Oryctolagus cuniculus: one gene and its partners. The protein of the gene in region 2 purifies or fractionates together with the protein of the main gene of each other region. This does not show direct contact. Links are inferred from orthologs where the notes say so. Each region holds a gene or a part of one and is shown on either strand. Other genes may lie near its edges.

Region 1 (4,821 bases), on a different chromosome or scaffold from region 2:
CACACAGTCAGGTCTCTAAGAACCATCAACTGAACCTAGACTACTACACTTTTTACACAAATCTATTACTTACCCTTCCAGCTCCATCCATTGCAAGAATGCAAATTTTCTGACCCCCATTTTCTTTCAAATGTTCAGGATCAACCTTGTATTCCATACGACCCCCGGATACAAGAATCTTTTTCAAGTTCAGTTGTCTGGGTGAAAAAAATAAAAAAGATTCTAGATGAATATTTTTTCTAGAATACCTGTGCTAAATTTTAGAGAAATTACCAAACAATAACTATAGGCAATTACAGGGAAAAGTGAAGTAAAATGATTTGGTTATTGGTATTCCTCATCTTTCTTTTCTAAAAGTATTCCCTACAAGGTGGCCATTACTTTCTGAAGGAAATCCTTCCCACTCAAATGCCTCTATCCACATAACCATTAAATACCTAAACCCACTTGTTACTCCACATATTCACCAAGGGCTTTAAATAACTAGTAAGGCTATAACCTCTTACAAATAACTGCATTTCAACAGAAAAGAAAATGTTAACAGATAAGAAAATTTTCAAACCTCAAAATGAAACAGAAACACTAAATTTGAAATGTGGCCAATCCTAAATAGATATCCTACCACGAAAGTCATCACAATTGCTAATTAGTAACTCATCCATTAGCCACACATTATATCTGTTTATCTGATACGCAGAGCATTGTGTGAAACCTGCCTGATGCTATTCCAATCACACTCCTAACTTTCAGACAGTTTGCCAACATCACAGAAATTAAAATTACCATGTCATAACTTATTTTGTAACAAAGGAATTTTCTTTTAAAAACTTGAATATAACTTACATTTATAGAATGCACTGTTTCAAGAGCAAGTCTTACAAATGTTAAGCAAAAATACAACCTACTATACCACAAATCACCCCATGCTCAAGAAAAAAAAATTTTTTTAATCAGTTCTAAGAAAACATGTATTTTCACAATTTCATGTTTCTATACAGAAATATGAATTATAATTATGTTAAAAGTAACATTCTGGCCGGCTCCATGGCTCACTTGGCTAATCCTCTGCCTGCGGCATCGGCACCCAGGTTCTAGTCCCAGTTGGGGCACCAGATTCTGTCCCGGTTGCCCCTCTTCCAGTCCAGCTCTTTGCTGTGGCCCTGGAAGGTAGTGGAGGATGGCCCAAGTGCTTGGGCCCTGCACCCGCATGGGAGACAGGGAGGAAATACCCAGCTCCTGGCTTTGGATCAGTGTAGCGCTGGCCGTAGTGGCCATTAGGGGAGTGAACCAACGGAAGGAAGACCTTTCTCTCTGTCTCTCTGTCTCTCTCTCACTGCCTATAACTCTCTCTCTGTCTCTCTCACTGTCTAACTCTCTAATTGATGGACACAGAAGATAGCTTGTGACAAACTGATGTCTGACATTTTCTGAACAGGAGCTAACTTCATAGAGGGTACCTGTTTAAGAAGCTACCAACTCTTAATTAGCAAAAGCACATTTTGTTGCATTTAAATTTAAATTCCTAATTGCTTTCAAAGTTAGACAGTTATTCTCTAGAATTCATGTTCATAGGGCCAGTGCTGTGGCATAGCAAGTAAAGCCATCACCTACAGTGCCAGCATCCCATATGGGTGCTGGTTCAAGTCCCTGCTGCTCCACTTCCAATCCAGCTCCCACGCTAATGCATCTGGGAAAACAGCAGAAGATGGCCCAGATACTCGGGCCCCTGCACCCACATGGGTGACCAAGAAAAAGCTTCTGGCTCCTGGCTTTGGATCCTCCCAGTTCTGCCCAGCTCTAGCCGTTGCAGCCATTTGGGAGTGAACCACCTATGGAAGATCTCTCTCTTTCTCTGTCTCTCTCTCTGTTACTTCAGGTAAATAAATAAATAAATGTCTTTAAAAAAAAACAGAATTCACGTTTATGACTATTTCCACTAATAAGAGTCATATCTTCTAGGAATCAGTTGTATTTATGCAACAGACCTATTTCTATGCGTTCATTTTTTGCTATAATTACATAATGAAATATTATCTAAACTAATGAAATAGTAGTATAAAAAGAACAAAAGCATTTTCTATAAAACTGCTATAAAAATAGATATGGATTCACCAACTATAAAAGATTGAAATATATTAAAAACAAAGGATTTTGCACCTAGATTTCTTCACAACAGTTTTTAAGCACTTTCTCCTTAAACTAATCAAAATGAAATCACAGGTGATACATTATAAGTACTGTTTATACACAAAGAACAAGGCATTCCAACTGGTAAATCCATTCATATTAAAAATGTTATGATTCTCTGATCTTTTTGCTTAGTCAACTAACCTCTAGCTTATTGCAATTAAAAAGAGACTACACAAATATAAAGATTATTTTTAAAAATGCCAGATAAATACTGAACCTGTATATAGAGTTCCAAGTGTACAATTATTTTTTAAAAATATGTGTATAATATCAAAAAGGCTACATATGAGCTGATGATGATATTGTCACAACCAAGAATTATGAACAATAACAAAAAGAAAAATCACATAGATCATATTTAACCACATGTTAAACACAATTCAGAAATACTGCTTTACAATTTACAAAGAGAAATTTCATATTTACTGGATCCTTGCTAAAAGATTAAGATGAAAGGAAAAGACTTCTGACTCTCCCCAACACATTTCAACCTTTCCCATCGGACATTTACAAAACATAGCATTAAGCTGATACTCAAGATAATTGCTAGAAGAAGAGAACTATTATTAAATAACTATTATTAAATAACCCATATTATTAAAGTTATGCTTCTTTCACAGAAATATACATACTTAGATGCCATTTTCTTGCACTGGTAGTCTGCAAGTAAATAAATATCTCCCCTGGTGGTTACACAGACAGTGGCCCCATCACTTGCAGCAACCAAAGACACACTAATGTCCTTATGATGAAGAGCAGAGACTTGACGAGGAACAGTTACACATTTTTCTCCATTGGGATCTAGCAAATAGCCTAAAAAAAATCATACAAATAAACAAATCATAAAATATCTGTCCAAGAGCCCATTTTTTTTTAAAAAGTCAATAACGATTTCTTACCTAGTTGTCCACCGTTGAGTCCCATAGTGTAAACAGCTTCTCGTGTCCAGAGCACTGTGTGAAACCTGCCCGCTGCTACCCCAATGATTGTCCTTCCTTTCAGATATTTTGCCTGCATCTATTCAAAAAGACAAATAAGACTGCAGATTACCTAATCTAGTACAATGTTTCAAAGATCCAATAAACCAGGATGGTAAATACTTATACAGCATATTTGCTGCTAGCGTCCCTCCAGTGTTAATGGCAATCATTGCTAACAGAGCTTAGCACTCATACTGAGACACAGCCTCTTCTCAAAACACAATGTTCCCATGCACTTTCAGTCGGCAGTTTTAACATATGGAAAACTGACATGGCACAAAAACCAAATTAGTAAACTTTTAGTTACTTATGTTTTTCTACCAAGTAATATACAAAACAGGCATTCTCATTCTTTATTAGAAAATGTGATACTTTCAAATTTGACATACCCAGGTTGTTAAAACAGTGGCACTATTAAAACTTGGGCCAAACAAGTCTTTGTTGTAAGGGATTATGTTGTGTGCCATATGTTTAGTACTATCGCTTAACTCTACTGACCACCTGTTAGTAGCACCACCAACTCCCTCTAGTTGTTAAGAATACAAATTTCTCCAGGCATTGTCAAATGGCTACCAGGGGTCAAAGTTGATCCCAAATCAGAATACCAGGTATTCTTTTATCAACAAGAGCTCCAAGACTGCCACACAATAAGAATATTTTTGCCATTCTTAGTTCTATAAAATGCTTAATGACTAAAAAGAAATTGTAGGGGCTACAGCTGGGGCATGGCAGTTAAAGTTGCCTCCTGTAGCACAGGCATCCTTTGTGGGCTCCAGCTGGAGTGCCAGCTGCTCCATTTCCAATCCAGCTCTCTGCTATGGCCTGGGAAAGCAGTGGAAGATGGCCCAAGTGCTTATGCCCCTGCACCCACGTGGAAGACCCTGAAAAAGCTACTTGCTCCTAATCAGCCAAGCTCCAGCCGGTGTGGCCATTTGGGGAGTGAACCAGTGAATAAAGACCTTTCTCTCTGTTTTTTCTCTCTCTATAATTCTACTTCTCAAATAAATAAATAAAATTTTTAAAAAGAAATTACATTTCTTCTAAAAAGTATCAGGCTGAACACCTCCAATTGTTTTGAACAATTTCTATTGATCCATTAATCAAAACAAATAGAAAGGTTCTGAATTTAAATGTTCATTTAAAAAAGTATATCTAGAAATACTTTTAAATCAGAACATTAAACTTGCAAACAACTGGATAAAGAAAATGTGGTATGTATACACTACAGAATATCACTCAGCAGTAAAAAAAAAAAAAAGGAAATCCTGTCTTTTGCAACAAATAGATGCAACTGGAAACCATTATGCTTAGTGAAATAAGCCAGTCCCTAAAAGACAAATATCCCATGTTTTCCCTGATTTCTGGTAATAATACACACAGCACAAAAAATGCAAACTACATGAACATTTTAAGATTTGATTATTGTTTACAGCCTTTGTCTATACTCTCATGTAAGTGTTTCTACTAAAAAAAAAAAAAGAAATTTAACCTCTGAAACGCAAAAAGTTTAAGGTGAAAACACATTATCAGTGATGACTCTTCGTATTAATTTAGAGCACCAATCTCAGTTCTATGTATTATAGGGCCCTGAATGTTGTAAAGGGCACTTTCTGGTGATGGTTGTGCAGTTCAAAGTCAGAAAGAACTGAGA
Region 2 (4,653 bases):
GAACTCGGATCTGAATCTGGGCTTGGAGTTGGACGCAGGGCTGCGAGCCGTTAGTCCACGTGTAGTTCCCAACCGCTTCTCTGGAGCCTGGGCTAGGACTTGGAGGGGGTGGAGGTGGTCCTGGGTGGGGGGTGCTGGTGGAGAATCCAGGGCTGGTCCCGGTGGTGGTGGTGGTGTTGCTGGTCGTGGGATGAACCGTGACATTTCCGTGGCCAGTGGTAGGAGTGGCAGTTGTAGGTCTGTGGCTGGTGGTGCCTGGGGTGGCAGTGCTGTGACTGGTGGTGTGGGGGTTCTTGGTAGTCCTGTGGCTGGTTGTTCCAGAGCTCGCTGTGCTTTCTGTGGCTGTAGGTGTCACCGTGAAGGATGGCAGCAGAGTGGCTGCCTTCTTGTGAGGCCAAGGCCATGTCCCCTGGGCTTTCAGCAGAGGGAACAAAGAAGCTGGTCAGCGACCCAGAAAGGGCTGGCTTCCTCAAGTTCCCCCTCCGTGCCCCCTTCTTACCCCCTTCTTACCTGCGTGTAGCCCCAGCAAGGCCAGGAAAAGCACAGGCAGCCTCATGGCAGATCCACCTCACCTAATGCCGACTCTCAACTGGACACCAGTTGCTCAGCCCTCTTCCCTCTTCCCTCTCTTGGGAAAGGAAATGAAAGTCTCTTACTTCCTGCAACAGATGATCCCACCCCCAGGCTGACTCAAGCACCACGGGCTCCAGCCACCAATCTCTTAGTCACTAGTCATTTGTTAGGGGACTATTGGCCCCAGCTCACGAGTGGGAGGTGTCAAGGCCAAAGTCAAGGCTGTCCCATGACTACAGAATGATGGAGCCGTGAGGCAGTTGATTGGTGGGGCCCGTTTGTCACCCTTAGCAAACCTCACTAGGCAGTTAGGGCCAGTGGTTCTAACCAGCCCCTATAGCCAGCAGGCCCCTCCTCTGGCCAGCCCCTTTCCACACACCATGCTTCATGACTTCCTCCTAGCGAGACATGTGACCACTTATGACAGCACACACCCAAGCCCTCAGTAGCTCCTATTATCCTATTACAACTTTCTGGACCTAGAAAATGGCTTCTTCTGGTAACTTCTAGGTAGTTAAGGTAGCTGACATACCCAGTAGCAGGTAGGAGGGAAGGAAGAAATGAGAAGCCCAACAGGCAGTTTCCAAGTCATTTTATTCAGAATTTCGTGTTTGCTTCCTGAATCAATAAATACTATACAAAACAATGTAAAAATGGCTACCACTTTCTCTCCCCTGCTCCCCCAGCTGGGTTCAATCACTGGGCAACCTCACTAGGGGCTGCTCCTTGCATGTTTGGTCCGGCACATGAGGTTGAGTGACTTGTTTTTGGCCCCTGAATCAAGTTCGGAGGGATTCAGCTGGGGTGGGAGAGCCTCTGGGACCTGGAGGTGACTAGGTTAGGGAAATGGATTAGTGTTTTTTTTTTTGTTTTTTTGGGAGGAGACGGCGCCTGGGGCAAGAGCCTACCCCAAAGAAAAGGGTTTCTAAAATGGTCACGGTTCCTTCTTTTGCCTCAAAAAGTGACATTTATTCAAAGAAAAAAAAAAAGAAAAAAATGACAAGATGTCCATCCCTTGGCTCCCTCCCCTCCCCCCTCCTGCTGCTCCTCAGCCCCTGAGGACTGAACCCCAGCTGGGGCTAGGTGGCAGGACAGCCCCTCTCAGATGAGGTCAGCAACATTGAGGGGCATCTCCTCAATGGAGGTGTTGTAGAAGGTCTCGATGTCTCGGAGAGTCCGCTTATCTTCTTCTGTCACCATGTTAATAGCCACACCCTTACGGCCAAAGCGTCCACCACGGCCAATTCTGAAACACAAGGATACATTGCAAGCATTGAGGGATGTCCAAAGCTTCCGCCCAGGATGCAGGGGGCTAGGCAGGAGGTCCAGACCCACACTCACCTGTGAATATAGTTTTCCCTGTTGGTGGGAAGGTCATAGTTGATGACTAAAGAAACTTGCTGTACATCAATGCCTCTGGCCTATGTGGAGACAGAGAAGAATTCAGTGCACACAGTCCATCCGGAAGGGGCTCAGTGAGTGCATGTAGGCAGCCCAAGGCAGGCAAAGGAAGCAAGCGGCCCCTTGTCTCTGAGAGCCCTTGGGCATGCCGGATTTTCTTCCAAGTTGCTACTTTCCTGAGAGAGGCACTAGTCGGGCCCCTGGGAGAGGGAATCACCTTGGATTCTTCTGCCTTCCAGCGCTGGAAATCCCCCTACTCACCAGCAGGTCAGTGGTAATCAGTACTCGGCTAGAGCCAGAGCGGAACTCCCTCATGATCACATCTCGCTCCTTTTGGTCCATATCTCCGTGCTAGGGGAGAAAACCGAAGGTTAGCGATCGAGACGAGCACAGGGGAGCTGGGCTCACACAGGCTGGCGTGCGAGGATGCTCACCATGGCAGAGACGGTGAAGTCCCGGGCGTGCATCTTCTCAGTGAGCCAATCGACCTTCCTTCGAGTGTTGATGAAGATGACAGCCTGGGTTATGGTCAGGGTTTCGTACAAGTCACATAGTGTGTCCAGCTTCCACTCCTGGAGGTTGGGGCGAATAGTCAGTCAGGGGCTATACTCAACAGGTCCCCACCCGGGCCCGCCTCCTGCACCCAGGCCCCACCTCGCGTTCCACGTTGATGTAGAACTGGCGGATACCCTCCAGCGTCAGCTCCTCCTTCTTGACAAGAATCCGGATGGGGTCCCTCATGAACTTCTTGGTCACCTCGAGCACATCGGAAGGCATTGTAGCTGACAACAAAACCACCTGGTGAAACACAGACCAGCCTCAGGGTAGGCGATGCTGCAGGACGCCCGCCCCGTCCCCAGTCCCACAGAAGGTGCGAGACGCGAGGGCTCTCCCGGCAGCTCCTCCAGCACTGCCTTTCTCACCTGGGTGTTGCTGTTGAGCTTCTGGAAGATGTCATAGATCTGGTCCTTGAATCCACGGCTTAACATTTCATCAGCTTCGTCCAGTACAAACATCTTGATGTACTTGGGAGCTGTAGGCATGGAAGAAATACTACTATGTAGTAGCTTGGGAAACAGGCAATATATCCAACTTTCTTGAAGAACAGGGGAGACAGAGGCAGTCTGCTCTCAGAATACAGAGATTGATCCTTTGCCCAGGGCTGCCCTGGAGGCCAATCAACAGCCCCAGGAAGTAGAACACTCCCTGGGCTTGGGCTGAGAGGACAGGGAAGCCAGGGCTCAGCTGACACGCATGGGGTTCATCACAGAGCAGCTTTCAGGGGAGGGAGAACGAGCGGCCTTGGGAACGAAGCTGGCCGACAAGGAGGGCTTGGCTAAGGTGAGGGGGATACAGGGCAGTGGAAAATTGAGCTACTCACACAGGTATCTCCGGTTAAGCATGTCGAACACGCGGCCAGGGGTGCCCACGATGATGTGCGGAGCTTCCATCTGCAGCTTCTGCACCTCAGCACGCACATTGGTGCCCCCGATGCAGGCGTGACAGGACGCACCCATGTAATCTCCTAATGCCATGACCACCTTTTGTATCTGAACCAGAGAGAGGTGGGTGTGCAGCTGTTAGCTACAACCGTGGCAGGTCCCATCTCACTTTTCCACGGATTTGGTCTTCCCAACAACCATGATACATGTAACTGAACCCTCAGCTTCTGAAAACTGTGGTCTATTTATTTACCCGCTTCATAGCCAGTTTAAAGAGCCACATGACACACACACGGCCAACTACACCCTTGCCCCCAAACACAAGCCACACGACCCGTTCAGTCTTAACAGGCTTACTATCACTTCTTGGTTACAGTATCTGCGCCCGGTTCCCATCAGAATAATCACTTCTACCATCAGGGTTTGTGCCCTAGGCATGAAACAGCTCTGGCCACCAGTACAGGCATCAAGCTAGGATGAACAAAGGACTGCGCATCTGCTCTGCCCCTGACTGATATAAGAGCAGCACCACGAACGAGGTGTCTCTTTGCCCATTGCCAGGGGTGGGGGGTGTGCATAAACAGTCACCCAACTTGCCTAGCCAGTCAGGCCCGGCCCAGCAGTGTTGTCATTTGACTCAGGAAATGGGTGGAGAAGTGGCAGCTGTTACGTTTGGGTAGGAAATGACATATAATTAACCCAGCTAAAAATCACCGCCCCATCCCACCCCACCCCACCCCACCCCACCCCACCCCCCGAGCATCCTCTTCCTCCTTGGAAGTAACCCCCCGGGATTTTAGGCTATGCTCATTATTCCTCCAGGAGAAAGAAGCCACGTTCTCACCTGTTGGGCCAATTCCCGAGTGGGTGCTAGTACCAAGGCCTGGGTGGCCTTCAGATCCAATTCAATCTGCTGGAGAATCGATATGGCGAATGTGGCCGTCTTCCCAGTCCCAGATTGGGCTTGAGCGATCACATCATAACCTAGACAGACAAGAAATGAGATCTGGCGGAGAACTTGCACTTTGGGCTCATGGGACAGTCAAATCCTGACTTACGCCTAACTCAATGAGCTGAGATCAACAAGCAACCAATCATGAATGACGCCTTAAGTGCCTTACAAACCTTCCCCACCACAGTATGGTGACATAACGGGGGCAAATCCAGAGAACGATCAGGCTACCAACTCTAGCATTGCACTAAGCCAGAAAACAGGGCTGTGAGAACTGTGTACAAC
Region 3 (4,821 bases), on a different chromosome or scaffold from region 2:
ACCCGCATGGGAGACCAGGAGGAAGCACCTGGCTCCTGGCTTCAGATCGGCATAGCTCTGGACGTAGTGGCCATTTGGGGAGTGAACCAACGGAAAGAAGACCTTTCTCTCTGTCTCTCTTTCCGTCTAACTCTATCTGTCAAATAAATAAAATAAATAAATAAAATAAAAATATACAGGACCATTTAAAAACTGACGAGAAAAATAAAACTTTCTAAAGAAAAAGTGGGAGATCACTCAACTAAGATTTAATCAGAGAAATAATTTTAATTTTCTGAAGTAAGGGCTGGCATTGTGGCATTGTGGGTTTTACTGCCACCTGTGATGCCAGGATCCCAAATGAGTGTCGGCTGGAGTTCTAGGTGCTCCGCTTCCAAGCCAACTCCCTGCTAATGCATCTGGGATAGCAGCAGAAAATGGCCCAAATACCTGGGCCTGTGGCACCCACGTGTGAGACCTGGATGGCTTTCCAGATTCCTACCTTCGACCGGGCCAATGCTTGGCCTTTGTGGCCATCTGGGAAGTAAACCAGTAGAATGGAAAGCTGTCTGTCTGTCTTGCTCTCTCTTTCTCTTTCTGTTAATTGTGCCTTTCAAATAAGTTTTTAAAATCTAAAAAAAAAAAAAAAAATTTAGAATAAGGGTGTTGGCGCTGCGGCATAGTAGGCTAAGTTTCTGCCTGGAATGCCAGAATCCCATATGGGTACAGTTCATAAACTGGCTACTCCTCTTCTGATCCAGCTCTCTGCTGTGGCCTGGGGAAGGACTGGAACATGGCCCAACTGCTTGGGCCCATGCACCCATGTGAGAGACCTGGAAGAAGCTCCTGGCTTCAGATTGGCCCAGCTCCAGGCACTGCAGCCATGGGGGAATGAACCAGTGGATGGAAGACCTTTCTCTCTGTAACTCTGCCTCTCAAATAAATAAATCTTTAAAAAAATTCATGGCCGGCGCCTCGGCTCACTAGGCTAATCCTCCGCCTGTGGCGCCGGCACACCGGGTTCTAGTCCTAGTCGGGGCGCCGGATTCTGTCCTGGTTGCCCCTCTTCCAGGCCAGCTCTCTGCTGTGGCCAGGGAGTGCAGTGGAGGATGGCCCAAGTGCTTGGGCCCTGCACCCCATGGGAGACCAGGAAAAAAAAAGCACCTGGCTCCTGCCATCGGATCAGCGCGGTACGCCGGCCGCAGCGCGCCGGCCGCGGCGGCCATTGGAGGGTGAACCAACGGCAAAGGAAGACCTTTCTCTCTGTCTCTCTCTCTCACTGTACACTCTGCCTGTCAAAAAATAAATAAAAAGAGAAAAAAAAAATTCAGAAGCAGTCATAAATCTTTATGTTTGATTGCCATTATCCTAAAAAGATAAAAAAAAAAAGGAGCCATGCATAAAGAAGGTCCTTTAAGTTTATGATGACTAGGTTTCTGAATTCTGAGAAGACAGTATTAAGAATTATACATTATGCTAGCTTCGACTGGTTCCTAGGTCCAAAGCAACACAATCAACCACTGAGGAACTGATTCATAAGAACAAGGCAAAAAAAAAAAAAGAAAAGAAAAGAAAAGAAAAGAAAAGAAAAGAAAAGAAAAGAAAAGAAAAGAAAAGAAAAGAAAAGAAAAGAAAAGAAGAAGAAGAAGAAGAAGAAGAAGAAGAAGAAGAAAAAACAAAATATGAACCAAACATGTATAGTGACATATACCTTGGAGACATTTGTATATTTGGAAATTCTCATTTGCATTTTTAGACAATGGAGTAACTTTTTTGCAGACTGTACTAAAACACAAACACATCACTGAAGAAATCAGACTAGGAATTTCAGCATTCAATGGATGTTTCTGGAAGTCAAGGAAAGTAGGCCATTAAACAATAACTCAAACAGCACCTCTTCTTCAGTAAGCATAAGAGTATTAATGGCAGAACAGCTTACCTGGGATGGGGCTCTTTCTTGAATTTAAGCTCCGAGAATCCATAATCTCTTCTGTTTGCCCATCTGCTTCTGTTTTGCTTTGAGCCTCTTTTGAATCTTCACTAAGGCAAGTTCTCATGCTTTCTTCCTCTTCTAAGACTCTCTGGACTGTGGGAGGAGCACTGGAAGTTGTGACTGCAGCAGGAAGAAAGACTGGAGTAGGAGGAGGGGAAGCTGGAGGAGTCGGAGGGGCTGGAGAAAAGGAGGGAGCTGTGGACGGGGTGACGGGAGCTGAGATACACTCCACTTTCATTTCTTCTGGAGGATGTTCCAAAATCTCCAATTCAAGAGTCAATGGTAACACTTCTTGCTTCACTATTTCCACAATGTTCTCCGTGGCTAGCAATTTTTCACTAACTCCATTCATTTCGTTAATTAGGTTAGTACTAGAAATTAGTGGCATATCATTAGGTGCTACACTACAGGGTTTCTTGCATACATCATCGTCAGTCTTCTCTGTTGGTGATGGCTCTGACGTATCTGTGCAAGATGTGGGGCTAGGTATAGGGATTGTGTCTTCTTTTGAGGAAGAGAGTTCACATCTGTCATCTACAGCAGTGGTGAATAATGGCTGGCTACTAAGAGCAGCAGAGCTGGGGGAAGCAATTGTACTTCGAGCAACTGGAGAAACAGTGGCAGGTGACGGAGGCAGAGGAAGCTCTGGTATGGTTTCTACTGCAGTAGTCTCAGATGTCTGACCTGTTTGTTCTTTCTTCTCCCCACTAAGGACTAGTCTACGAACTGGGGAAGGAGACTTTAACACTGGATCTGGTTTTGGCTTCTCTTCTGGGAAAGAAAAAAATAAAAGATTTTTAAGAATAATTCTGTATCAGAGACTGTACTGTATTTCCTTGGGTCAATTCTTTTTAACCTCTAACCCTAAATCACAAGTAGCACAATAGAAACCAAAATATTAGACTTAAGTAATACTCCAAAAAATGTTTTTTTTTCCTTAGTTATACTATCACTTGGTCTCCAATACATAGTTTAATTTGAAGCAAGGGAAGCAACCAGTTAACAAAATAATTATGTTAAAAAAAAAAAAAAAAACAACAGAAAAGCTCATCAAAATTGAAGCTCAACCATTCTTGGGTTGAGAGTAGGACTTTTCTGTAAGCGGGGAGACCATATCTACCAATCCTGTTTCCTATGGAAAATTTATCTACCCATAGTGAGATACTACCAAGGATAAATATTAGAAATAAAATTATTATAAAGAAATTGATGCTATGTTTCATTCTATAGATTTCTGCAATTGGGTGAATTTTATAAAACATGTATTAATTGTACAAAAATACTATGTCTTAACAGAAACCAACACAGTGTTATTTCTTAATGATGAAGTTTATTATCACTAAAATCAATTTCCTGAACATAAAGTGCAGTTTAAAAATTTATTTAAGGTTTTTTTTTTTTGGACAGGCAGAGTTAGACAGTGAGAGAGAGAGAGAGAGACAGAACAGAGAGAAAAGTCTTCCTTTTCTGTTGGTCCACCCCCCAAGTGGCCGTTTCCGCCAGCGCACTGTGCCGATCCAAAGCCAGGAGCCAGGTGCTTCCTCCTGGTCTCCCATGTGGGTGCAGGGCCCAAGCACTTGGGCCATCCTCTACTGCACTCCTGGGCCACAGCAGAGAGCTGGATTGGAAGAGGAGCAACTGGGACAGAACCCAGCGCCCCAACGGGGACTAGAACCCAGGGTGCCGGCGCCGCAGGCAGAGGATTAGCCAAGTGAGCTGCGGCGCCGGCCACATTCATTTCTTAAAATAAGCATAATCAGAAATAGTGTTAAGGTATAAAAATGGAAACATATCTTCACATATAAGAGCATTCTTTAAGGAAAAACCAAAGTAAATACTCATATAAACACACTCAGTAAAAGAGAATACAACATATACATGTCTGCAGTACTGAAATTATATATAAAATACCAATCTGTGTATAGACATACAGAGAATGAGATTGAGAGAGAATCTGATGACCATTAGGGTACCAGAAAAATATAAGGAATGGTAGTTAACAAAACCCCACGTTCTAAAATTCCAGATGAGTGGATACATGGTTTATCCCTGAGTGGATGTAACTAAAGGAGATTCTGGCTTCAAGCCTTTGCTTGTTTAGCAAAATAAAAGGCTCCATTAGAAAAACAGACACTCAGAGTATGATTACCAAATGCTGACAAAAATTTTAAGCATTATTAATGACAGTCTAAAGTAAAACATACTTTACTTTCTCCCCTAGATTTGTTATGTGTTGGTGGAATTGAGTCTTTATAATAAATTGTAGCTAAGTCTGTGAAAGAGAAATAGATGACAGATACCACCATTAAGCTGTTTGCTAATTCATTCACTGTAATTACAAGACTTAAAATTCACCTTAATTTTTGGGCATGGAAGCTAGTGCTTCTACAATTTAATTTTGCCTATTTATTCTAGTGGTAAAATCAAAAGGCTCTCTGCCACATTCCTCATGCTAAGCTGCCATGGCAAGAAAAAAAAATACTTCAGAAAAGTATCTTTATTTTATATGTGTTCTATGTGTAACATATAATAAATGTGTATTTAGTAACATATTTCTGATAGAAATAATTTTCAACTCACTGGAGTAACTGTTATGGGCCAACCAGATTATATCGGAGTCCTGTGAAAGCATACTGGAATTACACTCTTAGCACTCACTGAAACCTAAATGCAGTAACTTCAAAAATAAACAAAAAAAACCCCAATAATTATCATATTAACAATCTAGTATGTGTATGTCAATTCAATGATAAATTTGGGGATATGAAATTTCTGAGATTAAAAATTGAAAGAAAAGAAGGTCTAGGGCTGAAAACTTTTACATACTATTGAGAAAAATCTAGCATTAA

What was found. Proteins that work in one complex are often made in the same cells at the same time.
Region 1: the proteins of EIF4A1 (region 2) and IBTK purify together in Homo sapiens (co-immunoprecipitation; 4 studies listed by BioGRID and IntAct, counting the BioPlex papers as one, with this or other methods). This does not show direct contact. The link is inferred for Oryctolagus cuniculus from reciprocal best matches to the Homo sapiens genes EIF4A1 and IBTK.
Region 3: the proteins of EIF4A1 (region 2) and EIF4G3 purify together in Homo sapiens (co-immunoprecipitation; 6 studies listed by BioGRID and IntAct, counting the BioPlex papers as one, with this or other methods). This does not show direct contact. The link is inferred for Oryctolagus cuniculus from reciprocal best matches to the Homo sapiens genes EIF4A1 and EIF4G3.

What each region holds. Positions count from the first base shown.
Region 1 is NC_091436.1:90,252,037-90,256,857, reverse strand, and holds part of IBTK (inhibitor of Bruton tyrosine kinase), read right to left. Parts: intron 3,208-4,821; coding exon 3,090-3,207; intron 3,004-3,089; coding exon 2,823-3,003; intron 198-2,822; coding exon 74-197; intron 1-73. UniProt on the Homo sapiens protein: Acts as an inhibitor of BTK tyrosine kinase activity, thereby playing a role in B-cell development. Down-regulates BTK kinase activity, leading to interference with BTK-mediated calcium mobilization and NF-kappa-B-driven transcription.
Region 2 is NC_091448.1:52,143,366-52,148,018, reverse strand, and holds the end of EIF4A1 (eukaryotic initiation factor 4A-I), read right to left. Parts: intron 4,401-4,653; coding exon 4,261-4,400; intron 3,983-4,260; exon of another isoform or gene 3,838-3,982; intron 3,525-3,837; coding exon 3,356-3,524; intron 3,248-3,355; exon of another isoform or gene 3,101-3,247; intron 3,008-3,100; coding exon 2,898-3,007; intron 2,773-2,897; coding exon 2,629-2,772; intron 2,547-2,628; coding exon 2,409-2,546; intron 2,326-2,408; coding exon 2,236-2,325; intron 2,199-2,235; exon of another isoform or gene 2,055-2,198; intron 1,995-2,054; coding exon 1,915-1,994; intron 1,820-1,914; coding exon 1,675-1,819; 3' UTR 1,149-1,674; downstream 1-1,148. Other genes in the region: CD68 (macrosialin), read right to left, coding at 1-414, 511-556. UniProt on the Homo sapiens protein: ATP-dependent RNA helicase which is a subunit of the eIF4F complex involved in cap recognition and is required for mRNA binding to ribosome.
Region 3 is NC_091438.1:149,845,263-149,850,083, reverse strand, and holds part of EIF4G3 (eukaryotic translation initiation factor 4 gamma 3), read right to left. Parts: intron 2,744-4,821; coding exon 1,919-2,743; intron 1-1,918. UniProt on the Homo sapiens protein: Component of the protein complex eIF4F, which is involved in the recognition of the mRNA cap, ATP-dependent unwinding of 5'-terminal secondary structure and recruitment of mRNA to the ribosome. Functional homolog of EIF4G1.